Regions from separate parts of the Mus musculus genome. Here all the other regions are reported to be linked to region 3. Evidence: microRNA targets listed by miRTarBase, many of them from high-throughput screens and not tested one by one. Region 3 holds a microRNA gene; each other region holds the end of a gene's coding sequence.

The links. Region 3 holds the annotated microRNA mmu-miR-423-3p (AGCUCGGUCUGAGGCCCCUCAGU, at 4,466-4,488, opposite strand). A microRNA usually pairs through its seed, bases 2 to 8, with sites in the 3' UTR of a target mRNA and lowers its output. Matches are read on the target gene's strand: a 7mer-m8 pairs with bases 2 to 8, a 7mer-A1 pairs with bases 2 to 7 and ends in A, and an 8mer does both.
Region 1: miRTarBase lists Cox6a2 as a target of mmu-miR-423-3p. The part of its 3' UTR that is shown has no 7-base or 8-base seed match.
Region 2: miRTarBase lists Stimate as a target of mmu-miR-423-3p. Seed matches in the 3' UTR shown: 7mer-m8 at 4,026-4,032.

What each region holds. Positions count from the first base shown.
Region 1 is chr7:128,199,393-128,209,502 of GRCm38, forward strand. It overlaps Cox6a2 (cytochrome c oxidase subunit 6A2), which reads right to left and starts at 6,974. Exons shown (of 3, transcript NM_009943.2): 1 at 6,831-6,974; 2 at 6,508-6,644; 3 at 6,043-6,420. The coding sequence starts at 6,903. The coding sequence ends at 6,337. Itgad (integrin, alpha D) reads left to right here. Exons shown (of 31, transcript NM_001029872.3): 25 at 3,563-3,641; 26 at 3,766-3,873; 27 at 3,954-4,031; 28 at 4,205-4,318; 29 at 4,458-4,559; 30 at 5,143-5,253; 31 at 5,670-6,112. The coding sequence ends at 5,783. 4931431B13Rik (RIKEN cDNA 4931431B13 gene) reads right to left here and starts at 3,936. Exons shown (of 3, transcript NR_045183.1): 1 at 3,747-3,936.
Region 2 is chr14:30,870,897-30,881,006 of GRCm38, reverse strand. Stimate (STIM activating enhancer) reads right to left here. Exons shown (of 8, transcript NM_028839.4): 6 at 9,449-9,526; 7 at 8,308-8,457; 8 at 3,797-6,629. The coding sequence ends at 6,531. It overlaps Mustn1 (musculoskeletal, embryonic nuclear protein 1), which reads right to left and starts at 1,750. Exons shown (of 3, transcript NM_181390.3): 1 at 1,392-1,750; 2 at 258-390; 3 at 1-83. The coding sequence starts at 1,400.
Region 3 is chr11:77,073,621-77,083,730 of GRCm38, forward strand. It overlaps Mir423 (microRNA 423), which reads right to left and starts at 4,552; the gene lies at 4,444-4,552. Nsrp1 (nuclear speckle regulatory protein 1) reads right to left here and starts at 4,817. Exons shown (of 7, transcript NM_001012309.2): 1 at 4,759-4,817; 2 at 3,034-3,124. The coding sequence starts at 4,778.

The sequences.
Region 1 (10,110 bases), not on the chromosome of region 3:
TGTGTCCTGTGTCCTGTGGCCTGTGGCCTGTGGCCTGTGGCCTGTGGCCTGTGGCCTGTGTCCTGTGTCCTGTGTCCTGTGTCCTGTGTCCTGTGTCCTGTGTCCTGTGTCCTGTGTCCTGTGGCCTGTGTCCTGTGGCCTGTGCCTGTGCCTGTGCCTGTGCCTGTGCCTGTGCCTGTGCCTGTGCCTGTGCCTGTGCCTGTGCCTGTGCCTGTGCCTGCCTGTGCCTGTGCCTGTGCCTGTGCCTGTGCCTGTGCCTGTGCCTGTGCCTGTGCCTGTGCCTGTCTGTGTCTGTGTCTGTGTCTGTGCCTGTGCCTGTGCCTGTGCCTGTGCCTGTGCCTGTGCCTGTGCCTGTGCCTGTGTCTGTGTCTGTGTCTGTGTCTGTGTCTATGTCTGTGTCTCTATGTGTCTGTTTCTGTGTCTGTGTGAGTCTGAGTCTGAGTCTGAGTCTGAGTCTGTGTCTGTGTGTCTGTGTGTCTGTGTGTCTGTGTCTGTGTCTGTGAGTCTGTGTGTCTGTGTGTCTGTGTGTCTGTGTGTCTGTGTGTCTGTGTGTCTGTGTGTCTGTGTGTCTGTGTGTCTGTGTCTGTGTCTGTGAGTCTGTGTGTCTGTGTGTCTGTGTGTCTGTGTGTCTGTGTGTCTGTGTGTCTGTGTGTCTGTGTGTCTGTGTGTCTGTGTGTCTGTGTCTGTGTCTGTGTCTGTGTCTGGTCTGTGTCTAATCATCTGTAACACACCATGAAAAGCTGTATACTGCTCTGGTATACTGGTCTGCTGGTGGCACATGGCTTTGCCACATTGTTTAACTCTTCTTCTTCCAGTGCTGTCTTCCTTTCCCAGGAAGCTTCCCTCAGTGCTAGATGTGGTATCAGACACTGCGTGAAGCTAGGCTATCGAGGGCAAGACTTTTCTGGGCATTGTGTGCTCAGGAGCCTGACCCAACAGGATAGGTCTGCTCTGCACAGGGGCCAAGCAAGGTCAGAGGAGGGTAGAGCTGGTGGGAGAGTCAGGGCAAAGCTGCTGCTATGGGGTTTGAAGGTGCGTAGGTGAATGCAGGGGCAGGGTAAGCTAGAAGCAAGCAAGGGACTTTCCAGAGTGGACGGTTACTCCGCAGAGTGGAGAGCTGTTGGGACACCATTGAGAGATCCATTTGGTGGGGTTTGTGGCTGTAGCCACTGAGTGCATGGGAGGACTGGAGGGGGATCAAATGTGTCATTTTCAGTGACATGACCCATGGATTGTATGTATGAATTTCCTCTTTCTCCCTAGGAAAACACAGCTTACAGTTAAATATACTATTGTTTTTATTTTAGTGAGGATTGGGAAGAGTTACTTGTTCCTCTTCCTCTTCCTCCTCTTCCTCTTCCTCCTCTTCCTCCTCTTCCTCCTCTTCCTCCTTCCTCCTTCCTCCTCCTCCTCCTCCTCCTCTTCCTCTTCCTCTTCTTCCTCTTCCTCTTCTTCCTCCTCCTCCTCCTCCTCCTCCTCCTCCTCCTCCTCCTCTTCTTCTTCTTCTTCTTCTTCTTCTTCTTCTTCCTCGTAGTAATTTCACTTAATCCTCTGGATAACCACATTGTTATCTCTATTTTTACCAATAAAAAAATTCAAGAGGTTTAATAACCTGCCCCTGTATTCACCAGGTAAGCCACACTGAATGTCTTGTACAAGGCCACCCTGTGTGACAGGGCTGCTTATGTGGTCCAAAGCAAGCAGGAGGGCCCAGGGGCTTCTTCCAGAGAGGGTTTGTGTCCTCTCAAGATGGAGGAAGGCTGAGAGCTCTACTCAGCTTTGAAAAGATGTTTAAGCCTGAGGAGATGGCTCAGAGAGTGAAGCCACTGGCAAGCCTGATGCCCACATGGTAGAGTCAGGGAACATTAAATGTGCACAGTGGCACATGCCTTCCCCCAGATAAACAAATCCATGTAAAATAATTGTTTTTAAAAGGAAAGAGGCTTAGAGCTGGAGATGTTAAAGTAAGAAAAGGGAAGCAGAGACAGAAGAGGTTTGGGAGGCACAGAGGAATCCCAGCTAAGAGAAAACTCCCAACGGTTATAGAGAGCTCATGTGTGGGGGGTGCCGCGACAGCCTTCTGCGGGACTCTAATGAGGTTAAATGACTTATGCTCCAAGTTACTTTGTTGAGTAGGAAGTGGTGGGTCTGAGATGCGAACTTGGGCAATTCTTCAGCAGTGCCTGAGGACTGAACCTGGGGCCTAGAGCTTGCTAAGCAAGTGCCCGGCACAGCCACACCCCCAGTCTCCTCTGTGTTCTTAAATGTCCAGTTGATAGCGTGAAACGGGGCGGGGGGGGGGCTCTGCAGAGGTTTTGGGTGCTGATGAAGCATGTTGGCCCTTCTTAGAGCTCAATTCTTTTTTAAAAAAATCAAAAACAAAAAGCAAGGTCTCACTATGCGGCCCTGGCTGTCCTGGAACTCACTGTGTAGACCAGGCTGGCCCTGAACTCACAGGGATCTGCCTGCCTCTGCCTCCCGAGTGCTGGAACCACTGTGCCTTCCTGCTTAATTCTGCTGAGATCAGAGACATCATCAAGCATTGGGAAGGCGGGGACCACGGCTTAACTTCTGAAATCCCCAGGACTGTCCAAACGCCCCACAAAAAGACTTGTGTGTGTGAAACATTTTACTCATATGAGCAGTGGTATTAGATAATACATTTTCAAAGGTAAATATGTTCTTCGTTATTTAATTTACATTTTTATTTTTGATAATTTCATACATGAGTAATGTATTTACACATCCTACTCCCTCACTCTCTCTCCCCTCCTATTCCTCCTGTGCCCCTCCCACCATCTTTTGTAACATAGCAAATGTCTACTGAAAGCCATGGGTAAGCCAGATGTGTCATAATCTTTGCATCTGGAAGGCAGGTGTAGGAAGATCGCTGTGAATTTAAGGCGTGTCTAGGCTATGACTTGAGCCTATCTCACAAATACAACCAGTAGATAGGAACCTGTCGGCATTTAGGGACCCTCTTGGCTTGAGTTCCTGGGCCAACTCCTTCCATATGTGTTTGCCTGCCCCAACACGACTATATCTGCTTTCATGCCTGCCACCAGAGACAGGGTCACTCCATTTGTCCCAAGTAATCTAGCCTTCCCTTTGTAGAGTCCCATAGGCTTATTTATTCTGGCAGAAGACTTTGTAGGCGTTCCTGAGGCCACCTCCCATCTGATGGACTACCAGCTAGAGGGGGCATACAAGCGCTTTCTCACCACTGGGAAATGGCGATCAATCAGTACAAGGAATGTGCAGATGCTGGGTCTCTGAGTGAAAATCCCTGGAACTCGGTTAAGAACATTTCCTGCCAAAGAAAGCTGGAACAGATCTTTGGGGGCATAAAGAAGTCAGCGCATCAAGGGAAGAGCTGGTAACTCCGGTGCCTGGCAAGGCTCTGTGGGGAGAGGAGTGGAAGCTGGCACCGAGGCTGCAGATGCATTTGAAGACCATCGTTGTTTCCCTGCATCAGCTGCTGGACCCAGTACTGTACAGCGAGCTGGGATTCAAACGGAGATGGCGTCGGAGCGGTTTCTCACTAACATGTCATTCTCTCCAGGCAGGAAGATTCTACCAAGCATTTCAACTTCTCATCTTCCCACGGGGAGAGACAGAAAGAGGCCGAACATCGATATCGTGTGAGAAGCTAGAGAATACGTGTGTTGGTCTCAGCTCAAGATGGAGAAGACTAGAGAACTATGGGTAGGAAATAAATGGGGGTGTTCTAGGGATCATACCAATACCTGGTCTCCACTCCTGCAGGTGAATAACCTGAGTCCATTGACGCTGGCCATCAGCGTTAACTTCTGGGTCCCCATCCTTCTGAATGGTGTGGCCGTGTGGGATGTGACTCTGAGGAGCCCAGCACAGGTACACAGCCCGTAGCAGTTCTCTCTCCAGAATCCCTCTCTATAAGGATGCCATGCTCTGATCACCTCCCCCACTCCTAGGGTGTCTCCTGTGTGTCACAGAGGGAACCTCCTCAACATTCCGACCTTCTGACCCAGATCCAAGGACGCTCTGTGCTGGTGAGAAAAGCCCGTGTGCTGGGGACACGCACGGAATGCACTGATGACTCTGACTGTGTAGTCAGCCTGCGATTGTATATTCTCTACTCAATGCCAGCCTTTGTTTCATCTTTTTGTCTCTTTCTAAGTAAAGGCCCTCCTCCTCCTCAGCTTTATCCCCCTCCTGCCCCCAGGACTGCGCCATCGCCGACTGCCTGCACCTCCGCTGTGACATCCCCTCCTTGGGCACCCTGGATGAGCTTGACTTCATTCTGAAGGGCAACCTCAGCTTCGGCTGGATCAGTCAGGTGCGTGGCCAATAGCAGAAGTCCTCCCCTGGACCATGTGTGCCCGATGGGTCTGGGGCATCCTTGGGTCAGGGCAGTCCTTGAACCCTGAGCTTCCCCAGATCTAATTCCCAGCTCTGCCCCACCCCATCTTTTGCAGACATTGCAGAAAAAGGTGTTGCTCCTGAGTGAGGCTGAAATCACATTCAACACATCTGTGTATTCCCAGCTGCCGGGACAGGAGGCATTTCTGAGAGCCCAGGTAGTGATTGTGGCAGGCAGCTGCCAGGCTGGTGAGAGGGCTCTGAATGTTCTTCAGTCTGTAGTGCTGGCTGCGGATCTGCCAGCCTGGACGGAGGGTAGAGGTTCCTAGACCCTCAGAATGCATGAATGCTTCTGTGGCTCAATGCTTGGAAGCATTCATGGGCATTGGCAAGGGAGGGGGAATAGTAAAGGGGTGTGTTTGTGTGTGTGTGTGTGTGTGTGTGTGTGTGTGTGTGTGAGCACATGTGTGTGCATGTGTGTGGGTGTATATGAGTGTGTGTGTGGACATATGAGTGTGTGCGTGCCTGTGTGTGTATATATGAGTGCGCATATGTACATGTGTATATGACTGTGTGTGTGCATGTGTGCGCACATGCATGCACATGTGTGTGTTTGTGTGTATTGTGTGCCTGTGTGCATGAGTGTTTGTGTGCACATGTGTGTATATGAGTGCGCATATGTGCATATGTATATGACTGTGTGTGTGCGTGTGTGTGTGTTTGTGTGTACTGTGTGCCTGTGTGTATGAGTGTTTGTGTGCATGTGTGAGAAGAATGAGCATTCACTGATTTTCAAATCAGGTGTCAACGATGCTAGAAGAATACGTGGTCTATGAGCCCGTCTTCCTCATGGTGTTCAGCTCAGTGGGAGGTCTGCTGTTACTGGCTCTCATCACTGTGGCGCTGTACAAGGTAAATTGTTTTCACATCATTTTCCTAACACTACTAGTGTTCACTACCAGTTCTGTCGTGCACACCATACGACAGTAAGAACACAGATCGTAGTTGTAGGGCAGGCTTGGCCACATATTCTGTTCCTATCACATTTGCTTGGTCTTTTTCCATCTCTCCTTTTTGAAATAACAATGAAAGTTATATCACAGAATGGCTAAACTGAAGCAGACATGCCATATGTACAAATCTGCCCGACAATGAGCCTGTGGCTTCCTCCCACAACTAAGAGTGTAACGACTGCTTGGCACATGGCCTTTCTCTGTACGTGAGGGCCATTCACATGGCTGCCCTGACACACAGCTGGAAGTTATTTTAGTTCTCTCATCTTCAACTTCCCTCTTACCCAGTTTTTCTGACTTTACTACATTTTATAGCTTGGCTTCTTCAAACGTCAGTATAAAGAGATGCTGGATCTACCATCTGCAGATCCTGACCCAGCCGGCCAGGCAGATTCCAACCATGAGACTCCTCCACATCTCACGTCCTAGGAATCTACTTTCCTGTATATCTCCACAATTACGAGATTGGTTTTGCTTTTGCCTATGAATCTACTGGCATGGGAACAAGTTCTCTTCAGCTCTGGGCTAGCCTGGGAAACTTCCCAGAAATGATGCCCTACCTCCTGAGCTGGGAGATTTTTATGGTTTGCCCATGTGTCAGATTTCAGTGCTGATCCACTTTTTTTGCAAGAGCAGGAATGGGGTCAGCATAAATTTACATATGGATAAGAACTAACACAAGACTGAGTAATATGCTCAATATTCAATGTATTGCTTGTATAAATTTTTAAAAAATAAAATGAAAATGCAGGTGGAAACATCACATTTTCCTTATATAAAAAAAAATAACTGGAACCCAGATACCAACTGCCCAAGAGCCTGCCCAGCCCCTTCCACCATGCTGTTCCCAAAGAGCCAGAGGACACAAAACTTCCACACCTTTATTGAGCTTGGAACTGTCCACTGGAACCTCAGGGGCTCTCAGAGCCGGTGTGCAGAAGGCCAATTTGAAGATTGCTGGCAGAGCGTGTCTGCTGAGACATCAAGGGTGCTCATAACCGGTGGGCAAAGGATTGACGTGGGGATTGTGGAAAAGCGTGTGGTTGCCGTCCCCCCAGGCGAAGGGCTGCAGAGAGAAGGCAGACAGGTCACCCACCACAGTCCCTCCCCGCAATCCCCCTGCATGCTCTCACTCGCTCATCCTCTGGCGTACCTTGGTTCGGATGCGGAGGTGGTGATACGGGATGAACTCTGGGCGCTCGTGGTGGCCAGCGTGCATCCAGCAGTTAAGGGAGCAGAGGGCTACGCCGGGAAGAGCCAGCACAAAGGTCAGGAGGCGCCAGGTGTTGGCTGGAGGAGCAAAGGTGGGGTGTGAGTAGATTCATAGGCAAAAACTATCCCTGGGCCTAGAGGTCTGAAAGATCAGTGCCTGGTAGATCAGGAGAGAGGAGCCAGGAGACAGAAGGAGGGGGAAGCCGGGCAAAGAGAACAGATCGGCTAGGCTACTAAATCAGAGTCAGGCCTGGCCCCACTTACCTCCTGCCCCTCCATGGTCTCCTTTGGCTGCGCTGGCCATGCTCCGGCTCAGGACCTTTAGAGGCAGAGCCATTGTCAAAGGGAGGCTAGGAATGGCACTGTCCTTCTCTGTCTCCTTCACCCAGTCGAGAGGCTCTCCTCCCCTCTCAGAGCCAATCACCTGTTGAGCCCGCACATGGATGGCTATTTTTAGGGGCTTTCTCTATCTAAAGTGGGTCTTGACTGGCAGGAGATCCTCTTCAGGCAGCTGATGCAATGTGCCTTTTATTTTGGCAAGAGAAGATTTAAAGTGATACAAACTTGAAATATGTAAGCTGGAGGATCAGAGTTCAAGGCCACTGTTATCAACTTAATGAGTTTGATCACAGCTTGAACTACCTAAGATCTTGTCTTTAAAACAAATTTTACAGTGGGGTGGGGTGGGGGTGGGAGTGTAGCTCAGTTGGTAGACTGCCTGCAGTGTCTGCCTACCAAGTACCCATAATGTCCTGAGTTCTTTCCCTATTCCTACACAATCTCAGTGTGGTGCACTTATTTATAATGCCAGCCAGCACTTGGGACATGGAGGCAGAAGGGTCAGGAGTTCAAGGCCATCTTGGACTACGTACCAAGGTCAAAGCTATCCTGGGCTACACTGGACTGTCTATCTAAAGATTTATTTGTTTTATATATGTGAGTATACAGTAGCTCTACAGATGGTTGTGAGCCTTCATGTGGTTGTTGTGGATTGAATTTTTAGGACCTTTGCTCGCTCTGGTCAACTCCGATCACTAAGTCCCTGCTTGCTCCAGCCCAAAGCTTCATTTATTATTATACATAAGTACACTGTAGCTGACTTCTAGCACCAGAAGAGGGCATCAGATCTCATTACGGGTGGTTGTGAGCCACCATGTGGTTGCTGAGATTTGAACTCAGGACCTTTGGAAGAGCAGTCAGTGCTCTTAACCACTGAGCCATCTTGCCAGCCCTGGACTGTCTATCTAAATAAATATGTACTAAAGCTATCCTGGGCAACTCTGGACTGTCTATCTAAATAAATATGCACCATTTTTTCACAGTGGCACGGAATGACTTCATTTAATATTCTGTTCTCAATAGCTAGCACAGAGTAGACAAGTAATATGCTTAAAACTAGTTAGGTGCCCATTTAAAAAATTATCTGGGAATTGAATCCCAGGGCTGTGTGCATGCTAATTAAATGTTCCCCCACTGAGCTCAGGCTCGGTTGTTGCTGTGTTTCACTTGGTATTGGTGTGTGCTCATATGTGACACGGATGTGGCGCTCAGAGGACAACTTTATGATGCATACTCTCCTGGGAGCCGAGAGCAGGCCACCAGGCTTGTATAGTGAGCACCTTTGCCCACTGATACATCTAGCCAACCCAAGAAGCTTAAAGGCAAAGGGGGAGAGAAGATTGTAAGAGCCGGAGCTCTGTAGCCCAAGCTATATTCTCAGCCACAGGACTTTCTGTTCTTTCTCTCTGTGATAGGCTCTCACGATGTAGGCTAGGCTGGAATTGAACTCATGACCCTTCTGCATTCGTTCCATAAGTGCTATGGTCTAGGTGTGGATTGTACTGTACTCAGGTTTACAGTCTAACAGGATGCCTCTAGCTCTGAGCAAAGTTTGATGTATCTAATCCACTTATAAAAGGAAAGTAATAAGGGCTCTACACCTATACCTCTCATTTACTTTAAACTTGGGCTAGTAAGATGGCTCAGTAGGTAAGGGTGCTTGCTGGTAAGCCTGACAAACTGTGTTTGATCCCTAAGACCCACAAGGTAAAAGATATTCATGCTTCCAGGCCCCACAAGTAAATAAATGTCATAGAAATGGAATAGTTCCATCTACCCAGGTTCCTCTTTCTGTAATGAATTCTTCCCATAGTCATTTTTGTCCTGTTGGATTTTGGGACTGCTGTGGAAATGTGACTTTAAAATTTCCTGTCACCCCACCTCCATACACAGTTTCCTCTAATCTCCTCCCTATTTAGTTCCATTATGGCTACTGAAGAAAACAGTAAGAGGAACATTTGTACTTACAGAGGCTCTAGGTCTCCCTTTCCTCCTAAGTAGCCTCTCAGAGGTTTGCTGAGAATTCCCATCCTTGCCTTCTCTGCTCTTTGCAGCCACTCAGTGAATGCTGCAAAGGTCACTACTGTCCTCTACCGCCATCGTGTGGTACACTTGAGCACCTACATGGAGGTTTTTACTTAACCAATTTTCTACAGGTTTCTGTGTTATGATGTTGATTTTTGTGCTGCTGGGGACGGAACCCAGAGGCTAGGTACACAAGGCAAACTCGCACTCCCAGCTGCTGTTTTCTTTCTTTTTCTTTTGTTTGGCTTTCACTGAGTACCCCTGCCTGGCTTGGATTGTAAGTCCTCCTTGGTGCTGTTTTTCCAGGTGCATACCACCACATTTAGCAGGGTTTTGTCATAACTGTTTCCTTGTGAGAACTGTAGCATCTGCATCTGTAACATCTGTAGCAATTGTAGCATCCTTGCACCATGCATAAGTTAGATTCCAATTACTGGAAGGGTTTTTTTTTTCTTCTTCTTCTTCAGGCGGAGAAAAAACAAACTCACCTGTACCTGTCTTTGCTACTTTGTGGGTTCTTCTCTGCTCCCCTCTTTTATCCCCTGGTTTTAACTCCAACACTGGGTAAAAGAGAAACAAGGTTAGAAGGGAGAGAAGAATTAGGGAAATCTCTGAATCTAATGTCCTCCCTTTTGTTTCTTCTTTAACCACAGCTACTAACAACCCCTCCACCCCCCCCCACCCCCAAGTGACCAACACTCCCAGCCTGCCTCTGGGGCCCTCACATTTATGTATCCTCCGAAAAGTTCCCAGGATTCCAAAAGGTTACAATGGTAGAAAATATCTGCAGCTGGCAAAACCGTGCCTCTGCCAGAGCATGAGGCAAATCATAGTCAGCTGCTGCGGACTGTCGGAAGCAGCCTCACACCCCTACGCCTGGGAATAAAACAAATCACAGTCATGTAATTTTTCTGTGTTTTAAAAAAGAAATCAAAATTTCAGAATTCTTTTTTTTTTTAATTTTAAAACGGAGTTTATTTAGCCCCAATTAAGTCTAGTTTTATAAATTCCATCTGACTCCTCCACAGGAGAAAACTCATTGTTGTTTATTATTGTTGTTGTTGTTGTTATCATTACACACTAAGCCTGTCTGGGTGGCTATGTGTGAACTATCTGGGTGAGTCATAGGGTCTCCAGGAAGGTTGTCAGAGTTCTATGATTTCTTCTAAAAAGCGAAAAG
Region 2 (10,110 bases), not on the chromosome of region 3:
TCCCTCTTTGGGCTTCTCAAAGACTGTCTCGGTGCCTGTGCGGTTGCGGCTGAATACAGATGGGGCAGCTGAGCCGGCTTGCTCTGGAGGCAAGAGATGGAGGAGGTGACATCAGGGACCTAAACTGGTCTTCTCAGAGGCAGGGCTCCCTATGCTGTGTGCAGCCCCTCCTATGCCCAGAGACCCTCAACACCTCTTAGCTACCACCGGGGGATGCTTGTGTCTCCAATTCTACCACATGCCCGGGGGACACTCACCGTAGTCCCGCATGACCTGGTATGTCTTAGACTTGATGTCCTGGTTCTTGGCCAGGGTCCCTCGGGCCCCCTTCAGGTCTTCTTCCTTCACAGGGGGCCGCTTCTTCTTGATGGGGCCTTCAGGAGTGCCAGCCTTGGAAAAGTCGAGAGCCTTACAATTCAATGCCTTGAGATGAAGACCCCCCAACTTTGGCGGGGGCTCCTCCTTCCCAGGCTTCCGAATTAAGCCGATTCAAAGCTCACTCCTCTCCCAACTGCAAGTTCCCCGCCACCTCCCTGCCTTCTTAGCCTGACTTGGACATCTGACCTTTCCCCACAGACAGGGAGGGAACTCCTGGGGGTGGTGACCACTGCATCCTCACACTGGCCTGTTTGTCAGGCCGAGTTCAGGACTGGACACAAGGGCGGAGAGCAAAAAGATGAACTCTAAGACTGAGGAGCCCTTGGTAATCTCAGGAATTCTAAGATCTGTTCACAGAGGTGGTGAAGTCCGTAAGACTGCCCCTCCCCCCTTTCCCTAAAACAAAACCACTGATGTTTACTGTGTTTGGGGAGGGATCGGGGTAGACAGCCATGGAGAAAGGAGCAAGGATGACCTTGTTGTTCTTGCCCAGTAGAGCCGGGAAAGCCAGATTTAGTGCTCACCCTTCTCTACCACCCGGGCGGGCGCCTGTGAGGCTGACACCTGATTCCTTCTTAAGCCCTGCAGGCAGGTGCAAGGATTCCCTCACTCAGCCTGGGCTGAGCTCCCAGGGAAACGCAGGCCTGCAGACACACCCTCACAGGGAGACAGACAGATCTATAGGTACAGTCTCCGCCCCTCATCCTTCCTCCAGATTACAAATGTGTACACATCAGGACACACTAAGCCAGCAAGGCTAGCTCCCTCATCTCCATACAAAGGCGCACAGTTCTATATAGGCACTCCCCACCTCCAACCCCTCACACGCCTGAAGTGTCAAGGCCTTTCACCAGAGCCTGGTGAGACCCAGGGTGTCCAGAGGCCAGCCTGGAAGGGCCACGGTGCTTCTGTTTAGCTTTGGCTTTTACTTCAGAGCAGGCACTACTACTTAGTGTCCAGCCTTGCCCTCGCAACTTCCTTGGCACCAACTAGTCCCTTCTGGGCCTCCTTACCTCGGACATGTTGGATGCCAAGCAAGCTCGCTGTTGGTAGCTCTCTGGCAGGCAGTAGCCACAGGAAAGGATCTGCGTGAGGCCCAACCCTTGGGAACTTATATAGTCTGCTTGTGCGTCCTGGGTAGTCACTCCCCTCCTTTGGAAGCTCTCAGATGATTCAGATCCACGCAGCGACTAGCTGGAGTTTATTCTTGGCGATGATGGGCAGCTGCCCTGGTGAGAGGAGATGGCCGCGGGGACCCCGCATCTCTGGGGACAGCTGCTTACTCGACGGTGGGAGGTGTTGGCACTGTTGTTCACAGACTGTGTTTATGAATGTGAACCCTGGAATGTGTGAGACAGCCTGCCCAGGCTGACTGCAAGAACCCATCCCAGTGGCAGGGGTGGGAGGGGAAGTCTCTGAGGAGAGGGAGGGCCCTGAACAAGGGTGGATGCTCTGAGTTTGTTTAGCTTTCTCTTCTACTCCTGGATTCCACTGGAAATAGATTTTCCATCCCAGCACATTAGCAGGGGAGAAACTTCCTTTCTGTTGCTTGGAAACACTTCCTCATGGTGAGCACAGCCAACTCAGAGTGAGTAGCCAGGAAGGCCGAGACCCTGTGGAGCTGCCATATCACAGTCTTGTTGGTGTCCTGGTCCTCTAGCCAGCCCTGGGACAAGTTTAATAAAGAGACAAAGCAAGGTACAGTATAGGCCCGGAGGAGACCATGCTTGCTAGTAAAGGCCTATAGAGGGCTTCTGTCTAAGATGGACACTTGGAAGCTGGCTGGCAGGACTTTAGAGGGCTGGGGTGAATGCCACTTCAGCTATTAAGCTGTAGTAAAGAGTAGAGCTCCCTTGGAAAATCATTTAGCACCCACCACTAACTTCATCTTTGCATGGAAAGATCACTGGTGGCAATGCAGGGACCCTAAGCCTGAGGTGGGCTGTGGTAGATGTGGGTTGGAGGTTTGTCTTAGACTTCTCTCCACTCCCTCCCGTCTACAATGGACATTGTGTTTATCCCTGAAGGCACCAGGCAGATGAAATTCAACCAGGCACTAACAGTCATCCTAAATGTCATTCCATAGCTGTTGTGCCTCGAACTCTATCCCATTCTTGGTTCTGGGCCTGGCTCCCAGTAGGTCAGTGTGTGCACCATCAGGTCTATACGCAGGGACCTGAGCAATACCCATGATTCCAAGGGGAGGCCAGGCCATGCCTTGTGAGGAGTACCCACAGCTGGCTGACTAGGACAAGGATAAGGGATGCCCAGCTCTCACGACCCAGGAGGAAAAGCGGGTTAGGCTCATCAGGATGATGGCTAGACCACGCTAGGCTCCTTTCATCGCAGACTCTGAGCCCACTGCAGCCAAGCCATCAGGTTTATTAACCCGTTGAGTTGGTTGTGAGTTACAGGGCACAGGGCACACAACCAACGACCACAAAAGTGCTGGGTTTTTTCCTCCTTTTTCTTCTTTTATATAATAAGATGTGAAAATTTACTGTAAACCAGTTTACAATGGAAGTACACCATCTTCTCTTTCATCTAAAAAATGTGGTTTTGTGACCCATGCATGACACCATGCTTAAGTGTCACTGGCAGCTGAGGTGGGATGGTTTCTGTGACTCATGACTGCGTACACAGCCTTGATTGGCAGCTGAAGTCACTCATAGGTCTGACTTCTAAGTAAACCCAGGAAAAGAAAAATTTAGAACTAAACCAGGCAACCAGTCCACCAACCAATCCACTCACCCACTCAGGACTCAGGGTGTTCAAAGCAAGGCTGACCACAGGCCCCGCACTATGAACAAGTCTCCCATTGAAAGTTGTGGAAATCTTCATTTAAGAGTTAGCTCACTTCGGGGGTCGGGGGGTGAGTGGAGAACACCTTTAATCTCAGCACTTGGGAGGCAGACGCAGGCAGATCTTTGGGTATGAGCCCAGCCTGATCCACAGAGCTAGGTCCAGGACAGCCAGGACCACACAGTAAAACTGTCTTAAAAAAACAGAAACAAAACAAGACTAGGTTACATCCTATAAGGTTTGCTGCCTGGCAGGAGGGACAGTCTGGGTCTGCTCCTTCAAGGTCTTGGGGCACCTTTCAGATGTGCATCCTGAGCTGTAGCCAGCAGGCCTATACTGCCAAAGAGAAGTTACAACTTGAACTTGAATCTTTTTGTTTTCCCCAAGAAAGGAGGCAGGAGAGGTGACATGAACCCACGACTCCTTTGGTGCTCGGGAGTTCACAGTTTAACATCTGAGGCAGGAGGTTGCTCCCAACATGCCCCAGGGCTGAGGGGCACAGAGTCTCACCTCACACACCTTCCGGACCACTGCCACACGGGAGCTCACCATTCACCGCTGCCTTTCCCAAACTCCCACCAACAGGTAAAGGAAATAAAAAAGCAACCACCATGTCTCCGAGTTAGGTGTCAGCTCTCTCTCATTGGTTTATTTCTGTTAGTTACAAAAAAAAAACAAAAACAAAAACAAAAACAAAAAAACCTCATTCTTCACCGTGGCTGGCAAGCTTCTACCAAGAGCAGCTTGGCCAAGGTACCTATTTGGACAAATCAGATTGACAGCACACCACAGCTAGGTCAGCATTCCACACTTCTTGTTTTTTTTTTTTTTTTTTTTTTTCCCTAGCTCGGTGTCGCCCGCAATCAGCCAGTAAAGGGTCCCACCTCATAAGGCAACTTGGAACAAGTGATGTGGACACTTGTTCCGGGGAGGGGGGACAGCTCAGGAAGAAGTCCTGACCAGAGCCCTCTACATCCACTCCAGTGAGACAGTGCACCACGGTGACAGAAAGGCCTTGTCGGCCACCGGAGGCTCTCCCAAGGGATGCGGAATTGTATGTGCTTTTGCTGTATGGTTGCATGCGCACATCCACAGGGAGAGGGAAGGACAGACACACACCACGCTTGCACACAGACAGGCTCTAGTGGCAGATCCCTGTTGGACCTCCTCTCCTACTGAGCCAACTCCACAGCTGCAGCCCAGAGACGACAGTCCTTAGCGGAAATCAGGGTGCAGAAGGAACTTGCACTCACTTGCTTCCTGTCCTCCAGGCCCTGTGCCTGGGAGCTGGGAGGACCTTACAGACCACCTCTGTGAGGCTGTGCACCCGGAGTTGCCATCCTTCCGTCCTTAACAGCATTTCCCCCACCTCTGTGTCTAGCTTGGAAACTCCAGGAGCTTGAGTCTGAAAATGAGGTTTCAGCTCTGAGCTCCAGAGGGATGGCAGGGGTGTGCGCAGCAAAGGCCAGCTAAAGCACAGCAAAGGGGAAGGGGACGTGAGGATGACGTCAGCAACACCCGGGCGCTGACCAGCTCACCAGGAGTTTGAGCTCAGTGGAAGCTCACTAGAGAAGGGGAGAGAATGACCACTGCTGAACGATGGAAGAAAATGGGAACTGAGACCAAGGCAGGGCCTGGCGGACCCGTTCCAGGTCATGGCCTCTGCCTGACAGGAATGTGCAGCCTCCCACAGCAGACTCACTCTTCTCAGTGACTTGCGCTAGACAGTGAGCTGAGAGGGCCACCCAGAGCATACCCTTCTGTCTGTGACAAGGAAGGTTTCAAGTGGCAGAAGACAGCCCAGGTATCCTGGGCAAGGGCTAGGGTCACGGGCCACAAGCATATTTAGAGCCTGTATGCTTATGCAAAGCACACTCTGACCTAGGCTTAGGGGTTCTGAGGAGAGCTGTCCTCTGTGCTTGTCTCACCTAAGGCCTCAGCCCGTGAGGCGGTGGGTGTTCTTGTGCTCCTTACCACTGAGAGGCCATCAGACAGTCCCGCCCTGCTGCTCCCACAGCAGGGACAGTGCCAGGCCAGGCTGGCCCACAGGTAAACCACAGCCCGGCTGAGGAGTGGGTGTGGCCAGCAGAGAGGAGCCAGTTAGAAATGCCTCATACAACCTACACATTCAAACACGACTCACACCAGTGTCTGCTCTGCTGCAGTTATTTCACAACTTTGTAGGGCATCATGACAGGCTCTTCCGGCCAGGAAGAGTTCTCTAGACAGCTAAGCAAGCAAGCAGGTGGCAGCTGGTGACAGACCAGGGCAAAGGTTGGCTCTGCAAGCTGCTGTACAGTCAAGGCTGCTGTACAGGCAGTCAAGGCTGAGGCCATTCTAACACTTGCAATTTAGAGACTGAGATAGGCAGGAAACCAACAGGAGTAGCCGGAGGCGGTCTTGAGTCCTCTGGACACAAACGTGTAACTCCTGAGTGAAGTTTAACCATTGCCTCCAACACGGCAGCTTGTATGCCCTGGCAGGGCTCTGTCTGTCCCCACACTGGAGCAGCTGCCTCCTGTGCAGGTTCTGACCTTAACTATGGATCTGTGAGCGCAGATAAGCGCTATCTCTCTACCTTCCCACCAGGGCCGTTTATCTCACCATCGATGTTACTTAACAATATTCCTGCCTCCAAAACTCCTCATTTTTACCCACCTCCCCCTAGCTCATTCCCCATGAAAGGCAAACAAATCCATGTCTTTGGGGATTAAAAAGAGTTTTAAATACAATAGTATGAAAATATAACTTAAAAATATAAAAGTCCAACAGTATACGGAAGACTTAAAAATCTGTTTGCCCATTAGACCCATAGATACTTTGTAGGAAATGAACACATACTCAAAAAACAGTAACACTGTCACAGCTCATAAAACTGGCTTTAGAAATAAAGAGTTACAAAAGCCATTTTGAGTTAAGAAAGCATTCCTGTTCCAACTTGGGTCAACCAGCAACTGCTAACCTCAAGCACAGCGCTTGTCCACAAGGCCGGCAGCCTCAGCTCCAGGACCCGCAACAGTCTGTGTGCTGTTTCCTTCCACCATGCCACCTGGTCAGACAGGACAGGGGGTCTTACAGAACCCCTAAGGGACAACAACAAACAAACAAAGCTCTTCGCTTGCATATTTGGTCAGTGTTTGTAGTGCAACTGAGTGGGCACTCCAGCTGCCCACAGCCCCCTCGGGCATGGGTCCTCTTCCCTCTTTTAAGTCACAGTCGTCTGGGGCGGGTGGAGAGCGGGCAGAGACAGCAGGAGGAGCAGAGGTAGAAGAGGAGGGCAGAGAGGAGGGCAGAGACGCTGTTGCTGCAGGGCTGGGCCCCAGGACTGTCACCCGCAGCGTGGGAATGTGTCATACAGGCAGCCCGAAGCGGTGCTTCTTTTTCACAGGTCTCCGGAGGTCCTCCTCGGCGTCAGACTCCTCCATCTCGTCGTCAGCTGAGATCAGGATCTGAGGCGGTCAAGAGGCAAGGCCTGAGATTCCAGCGCCTTCTGTGCTGTGTCCTCCTTGGAACCCAGCCCCTGTGGGAGGCCCCATGTCTCCCACACCCTCAGAGGAGGGTTGAGGGAAGTCCCCTCTTCCACAGCGAGATGTGCTGGCCTGTTGAAGCTAGCATTGAAGTCACCACCCCTAATCTGCCACCCCCTACCCAATCAATGCCTTCACTTGGCTTCCAGCCAGACCCAAAGCTGATCAAAGCCAAGCAGGCGCCTGGAATCTCAGGGTCCTGGAATCCCCTTACATACACAGTGTCTTTCAAAAGGGACTGGAGTCATCCCAGGGACCAGTCAGGCAGTGTAGGTTCAGAGGGGCTGTCTTGAGCCACCTCTGTCATGAAGATGAAGAGGGAAGCGCTCTACCCCTCCATGCAGCCAGGACACTGAGGACAAACTTGCTCACTCCTGCCGCAGCTGCTGGCCTTAGACCTCTGCTTACCACGGGAAGATCGGAATGGCCTGCATGAAGGTTTAAGGGCCCAAAGCCTAGCCATGCTGGGGAATGTGAACTCCTACTTGAGGGGTGGGACAAACAGCCTCACTACCCTTCCTGTGGACAGAGTCACTTGATAGCTCACGGCTCCCTGCTCTGGCCAATGTGAACTTCACTTTAATATCAGAGACCAGACCATGTGGTTGTGAATGCCTATAAGCGTAGTTTCTGCTTTATGGCTTTTTGTCATTTGCCAAATGTTGGCCAATTATTAGGATGTAATACAGCCCTATAACCAGATACAAACTTGGAGAAAATTGGGGCTTGCTTTCTAATCTATTCATCATTTAAAACTCCTCCAGCCTGCCCAGGGTTCCCCAGGGCTGGTGCGCATGCTCAGTCAGACGTACTGCACACATGGTGGTAAACCAACTGTGCGTTTGCTTTTCCTCATCCTCAAGTCTCAGGGTGGCAGCCATCTCAGTCACTCTGGGGGTGGCTGGGGGAGACAAGGTCTCACTATATAGCCCTTTCTGGCCTGGACTTTGCTATGTAGACTAGGTTGACTCCGAACTCACAGAGATCTAAGTGCCTTTACTTTCCAAGTGCAGGAGTAAAGCCATGTGCATGTGCCACAAGCCTGGCTAATCTCAGCCACATCTCTAGCTCCCACTGGCAGCCCAGCACTTGGCACTATGGAGTTTCCGCAGACACTGAGGCCCAGGTCACGGATGCTGCTGCCCAAGGGACACACTCCCAGCCCTGTGCTATCTGTCCTCATGCACCTTCCTTATGTCAGGCACCAGCGGGGAGAGGGAGACGAGGTTACCTCTGCGAGGTTTAGCTAGTCCTATATTTTATAAGTTTTTCCCTTGCTTGTTCATGAAGAACAGGGCTCCAAGTACTTTAACGCTCCCCTGGAGTAAGGCAGATTTCACCTTACCTAGCTGTCTCCACCGCTGCCGCAGCAATGGTCTATAGCAAATCTACATACTACGTCCTTTTGGCTTGAGACAGCACATGTAACAGCAGATGTTGGGCTCACGCTAATGAGGCTCTGAGCGACCTGAGCTATTCTTTAGCTCAGCTTCTTCCTTCCCTCTGACTGGCACTGCGAATTCAGGTACAAACTTAAGAGCAGAGACCCCCAGAGCCCAAGGTATAATGGCCACGCCCTTGGGGAGAGTCAGGCTCATACCTCAGACTCAGACTCCTCATGGGATGCTGCCCTTCGGTAGCGAACCTTGCTCCCATTCCTTGAGTCCTGGTTGGCTCCTCTTTCTTCTAGTTTAGCTTTCGTCTTCCCCTTTCTCATGAGGAAATTGTCCACTACCCAGAACATGAAAGCCTGTGGGAAGAGAAAGGTGTAGGTCGCTCTGGATAAATCAGAACAAAGCAAGCAGAAGGCTGCATACCCACCCCTTCCACAGACAAAAGAGAAGCCGCACTCAGCCCTGACGTCTCCCAGAACATCCAAGAGAAACAGCGGCTCTCTTTCACTTGCTGTACTTTTATGATCAGAGGACAGCAGGGTAATTCTTGCTGTGGTCAATTATGGGTTTATTGTTGGGTTAAATGACAGGCAGCCCAGAGGCAGGCATGGTGCCGCACGCACACCCTGCATCACAGCACTGTGGAGGCAGAGACAGACTCATTTGTGTTTGAGGGCAGCATAGTCTACTCTAGTGAGTTCAAGGACAGCCAGGGCTGTGTAGAGAGACCCTGACTCCAAAATCCAAACCAAACCAAACCAAACCCAAAACCAAAAAACAAACAAAAAAACCCCAAAAACCAAAAAAAAAAAAACCCAAAACACCCAACAAACAAACAAACCAGGCAGCCTGTTTCGGGCCAAGAACCCCAGTCTCTGCCCGTTTTGAGCCTCATGGGTCCTTCACAGGTGGCGACACTGCTGCTTCAGGGAGCCCCCGATTCCTTTAGCGCTCTACATCACTGGTTCTCCACATGAGGCCACTATGCTCAAGAGCTTCTCTGAGGTCTATACTCAATAGCAAATACCTGGAGAACGCTTTGACCCTGTTCTAGAAGTCACACACTTCACCCACAGGCTGGGATCTCTCAGCAAAGTGGCCTATCAGGGAAGGCAAGTCATAGTTCCTAGGATCCTCTGCCTGAAATAGGGGCCCTAGAATGGATACCTGATTTCTGAGGAAGGACTCCTACCAAGTTCAATACTGGTTAGGGGACGGACTAGCTACACAGATAGAAAGGATTGTCTGAGGCTGTAAAGGTGACTTTTGTGTCACACTCAGAGTGTTGAACAGGAAACCTTAGTGGCAGGGTACAAGCTAGGATAAGACACTCAACAAGGCACTGACATTGACAAAGAAGGGGACTATCAGCATGACGATGGCCAGCTTCAGGTCGGGGTTTTCAATTGGATTCAATAGGGCCACCTGCAGAGAGAAACAGACACAGTGAGGAGACCACAGGGGCAGCACACAGGAGACTCAGACACTTCCCAAGAGCCACTGGAACAGCCCCTCACACCCATGGCTGCACAGACCCTAGATCTGACTGTTGGTAAGGACGGGTCAGAGCTGCTCTGGGCCACTGGCTCTGGGGCAGCTTCCCCTGTGGACCCGAGGGCCATGGGCTTACCCAGGTATTAGCATGTAGGAGAGTAAAGACCTCAGAAACTGCTTGTGGCTTCAGCTGAACTAGCAGACACGAGTGTGAAGGACATTTACCAGTGAGACACATTCACAGTTACCAAGTCTGCAGACTGAGCAGACCAAGCAACACAGCAGAGGGGGCTGGATCTCCATTAGGCTTACACATCCCCAGGTTTCATCTAGAGAAGATGTGTGTTTACACCAAGTGCACGAACACCAAGGACAAGAATGACAAACTAACGCTCTTATAATCAGCTGCTACGTCGGACCAGACCCAGGACTCACGCATGGAGCTAAAACAGAAACCAGCAGGCCGGGCGGATGCCAGGGCTGGGGATGACGGGGCTGTCGTTTAACTCGGCTTA
Region 3 (10,110 bases):
ACCCCTCCCCCCCAAAAAAACACTGATGCATTATAACTTTAAGAATACTTATGCTAATTTTCAAGAAACCAGACAAAACACTCTCCCACCCCCTCTGCCCAACTACAAAACTCCATTTATGTGAAATGTCAGAAGACTCCACACAAACAGAAAGGTTGCCACAGTTTGGAGAGCAACTACAATGGATACCATTTTCTTGCTGGGTGATAAAACTACTAAAACTACTTTAAAATTAGCTAGTAATGATTGTACAATTATTTAAAAACTAATGAACCATATAATGTAAAAGGGTGAAACGGGCTGGGGCTACCAAACCTAATGACCCAGACCCACATTCGGGAGGTGGGAACCCTCTCCTACAAGTCGCCCTCTGACTGACTGTCACACAAGCACCATGGCGCATACAATCATACAGACACACACATGCACAAATACATACACTAAATAAATATAATTTTAAAATTAAAACAGACATATATGGCATGTAGACTATATCACAGTACTTTCTTAAAAGGGGAAACTAAGTCAATGAGGTGCTTGCCAGGTAATAGTGCTTGCTACACAGCCTGAAAAAAGTGAGATGTGGTGGTGCATGTCTGTGATCCGGCCTCTTATGACAGATAAGACACAAACACAGGAGAGTGGTCCAGGTCAGCTCCACAGACTACAAGGTGACAGACAACTCTCCATAGTTGTCCTGACCTGCACACATGCACCTGGCATAGAAATGCTCACACACATCAACCTTAAAGGCAAGGCAGACATGAAGAGATGGCCCAGAGGGTTAAGGTAATTGTCACTATATCTGAGTTTGATCCCTAGGGTTGACACAGAAGGAGAATCAACTGCCCCAGTAGTTGTCCCATGAGTGGCACATGTGTGCCATAGCAAGAGTGTGTCCACTCACATATACATACATAAAAATTGCAAAGGAAACTTTAAAAATTCTATGAAAAAGCTGGGTGGTGGTGCACGCCTTTAATCTCAACACTTGGGAGGCAGAGGCAGGTGGATTTCTGAGTTCGAGGCCAGCCTGATCTACAGAATGAGTTGCAGGACAGCCAGGGCTATACAGAGAAACCCTGTCTTGAAAAACCAAAATAAATAAATGAATAAATATTCTATAAATAATTCTAAAACTGCATCTACGTTTCCAATGTATTGAAAAACCCATATGCTATATGTCAATTCTCTTCCCCTACATCCCGAGCTAGGCATAGCTACCTAAACACACTCTTAGAAGGGCTGCCTCAGCAGGTGAAGGTGCTACTGCCATGGCCGACAGCCTGCAACACCCAAACTCTAGGATCCTGCATGATGAGGGAAAGAACTGACTCTCCCGAGTTATCCTCTGACTTCCACGTGTGTGGCAGTATCATGGCATACGTGTGCCCACGTACAAAATAAATAAATATGAAATAAACCCTTAGCATCATCTAGTTCCTTTCCCATCTATCTCTGGACTGCCTGTTTCTACTGAGAGTCTATTTTTTCTCTTTGCTTCCCATTAGCTTGGGAACCAAAGCTTAGATCTTCATCTCCATATAAGATTTCTTAGAAGACCCTTGACTCTTGTTGCCTCCTCCCCAAACTCATTTCTTTGAGACAAGCTCTTATTATACCTATAGCCCAGGTTGGCCTAAAGCTCTTGATTCTTCTCTCCTTTTGTGCTTCGCAATTCCAGAGTTATCTTCTCAAGATAAACATAAAGCTGGGATGGCATCACTAAGTAAACTATAAACATAGTACTCAAAAACCTACTTCCGTATGTAAAGTTGACATTTCATACAAACAGTGCAAGATATTCCACAATCTGGGCTCAACCTGTTACAGCCTCACTGCCACATTTCTTTGCTCTACACATTCTCTTCTCTAAACTTATCACTCCATAAAAATGCCTTCTACTTTATGTTCTTTGTTCTCTCTCATCTGAAATGATCTCCACTTTTTTTTTTTACTCAAATCTAAACCAGCTTTGAAAGCTGTCCAAATGCCTATTCCTGCCTGGGTATTTCTTCAGCAAAATGAGCGGTTTTGTCCTCTCTATTTCACTAACATTTTAAAGGTCTATTATCAAAATAAAGCAAGAAAGAAGAATGGGAAAAAAATGTAGATTTTAGAATTTGATAGACCTGTGCTCAAATCTTATTATTGCATCTATTTGCTTGTGTGTATGTGTGTGTGTGTGTGTGTGTGTGTGTGTGTGTGTGTGTCCACACAGGGGCCACGACATACAAGTGGAAGTCAGAGGACAAACTGAGAGTCAGTTCTCTCCCTCCACCCAGACACTGAGCTCAGGCTGCCAGGCTGGATAGCTGGTGACTTACGGTCGGAACCATCTAATCCGTCTGCTGTGTTTGAGCCGTGGTCTTGCCATTTATTTATGAGCTGCAAGGCCTAGTAATGGGAAAATTCCTTAACCTATTTGAATTCCAACTTCATCAGTAAAATGAAAGTAATAGAGGGTAATTGTGAAGATCAAAGTATAGTAGGCACAGAAAAATCCTCAGTTATTTTTCTTTCCACATTTCAGCCTGCCTCAGTGTTTGCATGCATCTCTGTCGATGAACTCTAAACTGGTTGAAAGCGACATTATGCAGATGGCCTTCAGTTTACAACAGAATTAGATCCTACAAAGCCTAGCCACGTACCCTAAGTAACAAAGACATGTAACACTGCTAGGTACTGAATCACGGGCCTTTAATCCTGCACACAGAGGGCAGATGCAGAAGCAGGCAGAGCCTTATGAGTCCAAAGCCAGTTTGGTCTACACATTAAATTCCAAGCCAGCTAGGTCACTGGTATTTAAGTGACTATAAAGAGTGTACCAAACTATCTAAAAATGACTAAGTTTATGGGGGGGGGGGTCATCTTTGGTCATACAGAAAATAGCAATTGAGTGCTTTTTAAAGGTTGTTTTTTTTTTTGAAGGGTCTGTAAAGATACTCCAGAACCACTGTACTGATAAACAAAGGTGAAGACAAATTCACAAGCAGTTTTTAAAATACATGAGTTAAGCATAGGGCCCCTTACCTCATCGTCATCAGAATCACTCCCAAACACTGACGGTTTCTGTAAAACTCGGTGCAACGGCTGTGTTTTCTTTGGCAAAATAAGCCCATACCTGCGTAATTTTTTTTTGAAATAGAAATCGCACCATTATCTTTAAATAACATAAACATTTAAAGAACATAACACATCCACTACTTCTTCCTTATGAACTTCCCAAATCAAAACATGTCATACAACCTATGAACACATAATGGACTAACCGCTTTGCAACGACCTCAAAATTCTAATGTCATTTTATAGTTGTTATTATTATTTGTCTACCTGGGCCAAACTCAAAACATTTTTACTAAAGGAGAAAATGAAGACTACAGCAATGTTTTAGATAGTGAAGTGACAGGAATCCTAAACAGGCTAGTGGTTTTTGCAAACTTGCTAAAAACCAAAATGTTCTAAACTGTCCTCTGATTTTTTTCCCACACAGTAGCTAAGATCTTGAAAAATTGACTAAGAAACCCACGTAGAGATTCGGGCAAGTCCCCATTCACTTATTTGGCTCAATTGCTTTTGTCTGCGAGCAAGTCACCATGGGGGCAAGTTCCCATCCGTCCACTGGGCTCGTTTGCTTTGCTTCAGCGCCTCTGAAAACCATCACCACATTTTTTTTGTAACTAGATATTTTCTTTATTTACATTTCAAATGCTATCCCAAAAGTTCCCTATACCCCCCCCCCCGCCCACCCACTCCCACTTCTTGGCCCTGGTGTTCCCCTGTACTGGGGCATATAAAGTTTGCACAACCAATGGGCCTCTCTTCCCAATGATGGCCGACTAGGCTATCTTCTGCTACATATGCAGCTAGAGACACGAGCTCCAGTGGGGTACTGGTTAGTTCATATTGTTGTTCCACCTATAGGGTTGCAGACCCCTTCAGCTCCTTGGGTACTTTCTCTAGCGCCTCCATTGGGGGCCCTGTGGTCCATCCTATAGGTGACTGTGAGCATCCACTTCTGTATTTGCCAGGCACTGGCATAGCCTCACTCAAGACAGCTATATCAGGGTCCTTTCAGCAAAATCTTGCTGGCACATGCAATAGTGCCTGGGTTTGGCCATCACCAGATTTAATACGTTTCGTTTCTCGAGGTTTTGGCTTTAAAATGCAAAGGCCACGGGACATGCTTGGCACTGCAAGGTTTACACGCCCAAGAATAAATTTCCAGGCAGGTAAACCGTATCTGTGTCTTTCCCGGCAGCGAAGACCAGTTTCCTATATGCCTACTCTTTTCTGTGGCTTCTCAGCACCACACTCGTAACCCCAGGAGGGAGGGCGGGAGGCTGGTCTTGCCTGAGCATCTGCCAGGGAGAACGAGGCCCTCAAAGGCAACCAGGAGTTTCTCTTCTCGGTGCCCCTGAGCGCATCCAACCGGGAGAAACTCAAGCGCGGGGTAGGAAGCAAGACTGAGGGGCCTCAGACCGAGCTTTTGGAAAATAGAAAAGTCTCGCTCTCTGCCCCTCAGCCTAACTTCCTTTATTTCCTCACAAGTTTCTCAAACTTCGGGCTTGCAACCTGGAAAAATGTACCGGACGGGGGGTGGGGAACCTAAGTGGCTCGGAATTCCTCGCCTTCTCCCGCCTTTAACCGGGGCGGGGGTGGCCCTGCACTTCCGGCGACCTCAGACGCCTCGGCCTAAAGACTCAGTCTCCCTGGCTTCTTACTCCCCAGCCGGACCCTAACTTCCCCATCACTCACTGCCTGCCCGGGATCGCCATCTTGTTCCCGTCTCCGCTGGACCTGGTCGACGCGGACGTGACGAGACGCTGACGCCGACGTGTATACGCGCACTTCCGGTTCCGGTACTCGCTTAGCCGCTGAGCCTACCGCTGTGTCTTGCTTAGGATGCGGCTCGGCTCAGAGTCTTAAAGTCAGGGCGGGGAGGCGATGACCAAGTTCTAGTCCAGAGAGAGGCTCGTGGACCGCGCTCCGGGGACGAGCCTCGTCACTGGAGATAGTGTTAGAGTCACGTCCAACCGCGACGCCTGCTGAATCCGGACCGAGTCGGAGTGGGCCCCAATTATCTGAATTTAATGAGTTTCAAAACGGCTCCCTACACATCTATTGCTTTGTTTTGCTGCTCAGTGTAGCTGGCTCTGAGTGACTAAAAAAACCGAAAAGCCATAGAACCTCAATGTGAACTGATTATTTTATTTAAATAAAGCCTTTCTATATAATATAACCCTGACTGTCCTAGAACTCAAGATCTTGCTGCCTCAGCTTTCGGAATGCTGGAAATGCAGGCACCCTCGCCGAGAACTGATATTAGCAGTGCAGTTGTTTGAGACCATCTTGCTCTATAGTCCAGAATATCCTTTTGCCTCAGCCTTCTAAATGACAGTAACTCATCACAAGTGTGCCACCCCATTTTAAAAGACAAAACCTGGCTACATTTCATCTGTGCATCCACCATTTAGAACTAGTGTTGGCAGCCAGGGCTATACAGAGAAACCCTGTCTCGAAAAACCAAAAAAATAAAAATAAAAATTTTTTTTAAAAAGCCGGGCGTGGTGGCGCATGCCTTTAATCCCAGCACTTGGGAGGCAGAGGCAGGCAGATTTCTGAGTTCGAGGCCAGCCTGGTCTAAAAATGAGTTCCAGGATAGCCAGGGCTACACAGAAAAACCCTGTCTCAAAAAACAAAAACAACAACAAAAAAATTAGAACTAGTGTTGGTGTCTGGGAATTACCGTACAAACCACTCAGACACCAATCTCAGTCTAATAGAGATTAAATATCACACCCCAAGACTGAAAAATCAGGTCCACAGACCAAACTCAGGAGCTGACTGTGGCATTGAGTTAAGATCCTATAGGGCTTTTAAGCCTAAAATCCACAAACATCTGTGCCAAGTTACTCCACCAATCAGGATTTAGAGTTAGGCAATTTCATCAGAAGCATTTTTTTTTTTTGTACACTTATCCTGTTCTCATTAGTTGAGGTATTCAACTGTGGCAGAGGACTTGCCTAACATTCATGTCTTAACTTGCCAACCAGGACATCAGTTATCCATGTACATGCCTCTTTCTACCAAGTAGGATGTCAATTCCCTGGGATGTCTTAGGTAGGAACTTTATTCAACCCCTGCTCAAAATGGAAGTTTTATTCCAAATGGCTTCTTATGTTGGGGTCCATCCCAGGAGCAGCTTATAAAAGTAAAAACCATATACATGTGCTCACGTTTGGGTCCGAGCTTAGCGTGGCTAACTATACAAAGCAGTTCTAATTGCTTGTGATTGGTTTTCAAGAAACTGAAGCACAGAACATCCTAGCAACAGCAGTGACAGCATATAAGATTCCTTAGTAACAGCACAAAATGGCAGGCTAGACAAGTAACAGTTACCTAGGCCCTAACATGTTACCCAGGTCCTAACAACTTATAGTAACCAGCTATAAAAAGGCTGCATAATTGTTTCTCTGATCTGTCTCCACCCACCCCCATATATTTGGAAGTCATGTGGACATGTGGGATAGTGGTGTCCTGTTACAATAACTCTGGTATAATTAAGAATTGAAACTGAGATCTGGGTTTATGTTTCAAAGGTAGAACACTTACCTAGCATACTCAAAGCCCTGGGTTTGAACTCCTGCACTGCAAAAGAAAAAAAAAATTGACTCTATTCATTCCTGTTTTTGTATAACCAGTTCTGTTTGATTAATGTTAGCATAGTATGCCTTTTTTAAACAATTATTTATTTTATATATGTGAGTACACTGTCCTTCTCTTCAGACACACCAAAAGATCCCATTACAGATGGTTGTGAGCCACCATGTGGTTGCTGGGAATTGAACTCAGGACCTTTGGAAGAGTAGTCAGTGCTCTTAATAGCTGAGCCATCTCTCCAGCCCCAATTTGTCAGGGTTCTCTAGTGTTAAAGAACTTATGGAATCTCTCTCTCTCTCTCTCTCTCTCTCTCACACACACACACACACACACACACACACACTCACACACACACACACACACACTCACTTGAAGGCTACAGTCTACAGTCCAACTAACCTAACAATCAATCAATAGCTGTGAGTGGAAAATCCAAGAATCTAGTAGTGGCTCAGTCCCATGAGGCTGGGTGTCTCAGCTGGTCTTCTATAATAAGCTGCAGCCTGAAGAAGTAGGCTCCAACAGATGTCCCGGCAAAGTGAATGCAAGCGGACAAATAGAGAATAAACTGCTTCCTTCCATTGTCCTTATCTAGGTCCAACAGAAGATATGGCCCAGATTAAAGGTATCCTCAAGATCTGGATTAAAGGCTTGTGTCAATCCAGATCCAAAGCCTGTGACATCACACCTCAAGATTCAGATCAAAGCCTATGTCTTCCAGGCTCAAGATCCAGATCACAAGTGTGCCCACCATTTCTGGATTGCAGTTCATTCCAGATATAGTCAAGTTGACAACTGAGAAGAACCATCACAGGTTATAAACACCTATCATTTGCTCTCATTTTCCCCATATGTTCTCTGCTCATGTGAGATCCTGACTTGAAGTGTTTCCCCCAAGCTTGTTTTCCCTGATCTCTAAAAATACAGCCAGAAAGAAGCTCTTTGTTCTCTATAGCCAGCAAAAAGCCTTTTTGTTTCTATACCTTACAACCAGAGATGCAATAATTGTAAAAAGACCTAGCCAGGCACTTGCCTGGCTCCCTGTGCCAAGGACACGGAGATAAACTCCACAAAGAAGAGATACAACTCACTCCCCACTCCTCATGGCTTATAATTTTACCAAGGACACCCACCAGAGAAGAGCTGTAACCAAACTCCTCCCAACTCTTCCCAATTCCTCACTTTTTCCTTTAAAACCCCCTACTGTTACCGCTCAGGGTCGAACTCCCCTGCCCCGCGTGGCAAAAGGAGTTCGTCCTCAGCTAGCTGACAATAAAGCCTCTTTGCATCAAGTGTGGTTTTTCTCTCGAGTTATTGGGGTGTCGGCCAGCTCATCCCGGGACTTGAGCGGAGGTCTCCCCAGTTTCGGGGGTCTTACACTCACTACCCACTCCCAGACACTATTTTGCCATGTTTTGGGTTAATAGAGAAGATCTTATAATTGGATCTATGATCCAGCCTTCATTTGTATTAACCATATTCTATGCTTATAATTTTCTAAGGTTTTACTTTAGAATCTCTTTAGCCAAGAATGACCTTGAACTTGTGAGCCTCCTGCTCTCCTCTACACTGCTGGGACTGCAGTCATGCACCATCATGCCCAGTATATTCTACATAGGCAGTGAATGTGGAGCACTCCATCCACTGGGCTGCAGTCACCTGCCCTCTACTATACACCTTATTTATCACATGCCACCTTTGAGGGATGTGGGTCAGCAGTAGGGTGCTGGCCCAGCATGTGTAAAGCCCTAAGTCTGTTTTCCAACAGCCAAAACAGACACACATACAAACCCACTTTGCCACTTTGTTTATAATGTAAAACGTTTCCAGTCACATACGGTAGTGATGTGCTTGTGCTATTTGTCAAAGGGGGCAAAATAATTACTACTTTTGCTTTAAACACTTCTTGGTGGGTTTTATGGATCTGTTTGAGAGTTATTTATGTATTTTATATATGTGGGTGTTTTGTCTGTATGTACATCTGCACATCAGAAGAGGGCATCAGGTCCTCTGGAACTACAGTTTGTGAACTGCCACATGGATGCTGGGCATTGAATGTAGGATCTCTGGAAGAGCAGCCAGTTACCTTAGCCACTGAGCCATCTCTCCGTTCCCTTGTTTCTTGAGACAAGGTCTTGATATGTAAGTCCAGCTGGACTGGAGCACACTATGTAGACCAGACTTGACCTTATGGGGACCCTTCTGCATTTGCTTCCTGACATTGGGACTGTGGGTGTGCAATACCATGACTTTAAACAAAAGATTTTTTTTTTTTACTTTTAAATAAATTTTGAGAGGTGGTGAGAAGACAGAGGACCAGGGTTCAACTCTTACCACTCACATGGTGCCTCATAGCTCTGGAGTCCCAACTCCAGGGGATCTAGCACTTTCTTCTGGCCTCTCAACAGCTCCAGGCACAAAGATGGTGCACATACATGTAGGCAGGCAAAACACCCATGCATATAAAAGAAACCTTTTAAAAAAAGAATTATAGTATTGTGTTTACCCACGTATAGACATGTATAGTTCTGACGTCTCTATATCTTTGTGTGGATATTGATTAATATCTGACACCTCTCTCTCTCTCTTTCTCTTTCTCTCTCTCTCTCTCTCTCTCTCTCTCTCTCTCTCTCCCTCTCTCTCCCTTTCCTTCCCTCCCTCCCTCTCTCTCTTACCATGTAATTCCGGCTGACTTGAAACTCCCAGAGATCTGCCTGCATCCACCTCCAGTGTACCACCACACCAAGCTAAATTCTTTTTATTTTTTGAAAGTAGCTGTATTAAAGATAAAGTGCTTGTCCAGCAAGTATGAAGAACTGAGTCTAATCCCCAGAAGCCATGTTGCAAAAACAGAAGCCAGATATATACTTATAATGCTGACATTGGGAGAGATGGCAACAGATCTGACCAAGTAGGCTTATTCTATATAGCCTGGTGAGGAGAGAGAGAGAGAGAGAGAGAGAGAGGCAGAGAGAGGGAGGCAGAGAGAAAGAGGATGGTACCTAATGAAGGTTGTCCTCTGACTTCCGCAGCACAAATATGCAATCCTCCACTACACACAAACACACACAAAAGCAACTGCACTGAGATGTAATTCACATGAAGTTTACTATTGAAAATAACGCAACTCAGTAGTTTATAGTCAGGATTTTACTTCCAGTGCCATGTCAGTCATGACGCTGTGAATCTTTTCCTTCCCCTCGCAAGTCCTCCGACCCCAGGCAGCCACTAATCTACTTTCTATCTTTATGGATTTGAAATATCAGGTTTTGTTTCTTATATCCTGAAACTCAATAATTAGATGTATAAATATTTTAAGAATGCCATTGTGCCCTTAATTAGTTGGCCCCATCTTCATTATTTTTACCAAAAAAAAAAAACAAACCAAAACAAAACAAAACCAAAGAAAGCAGTCCTTGCTCTGAAATCTTTGTGTGATCCAGCTAT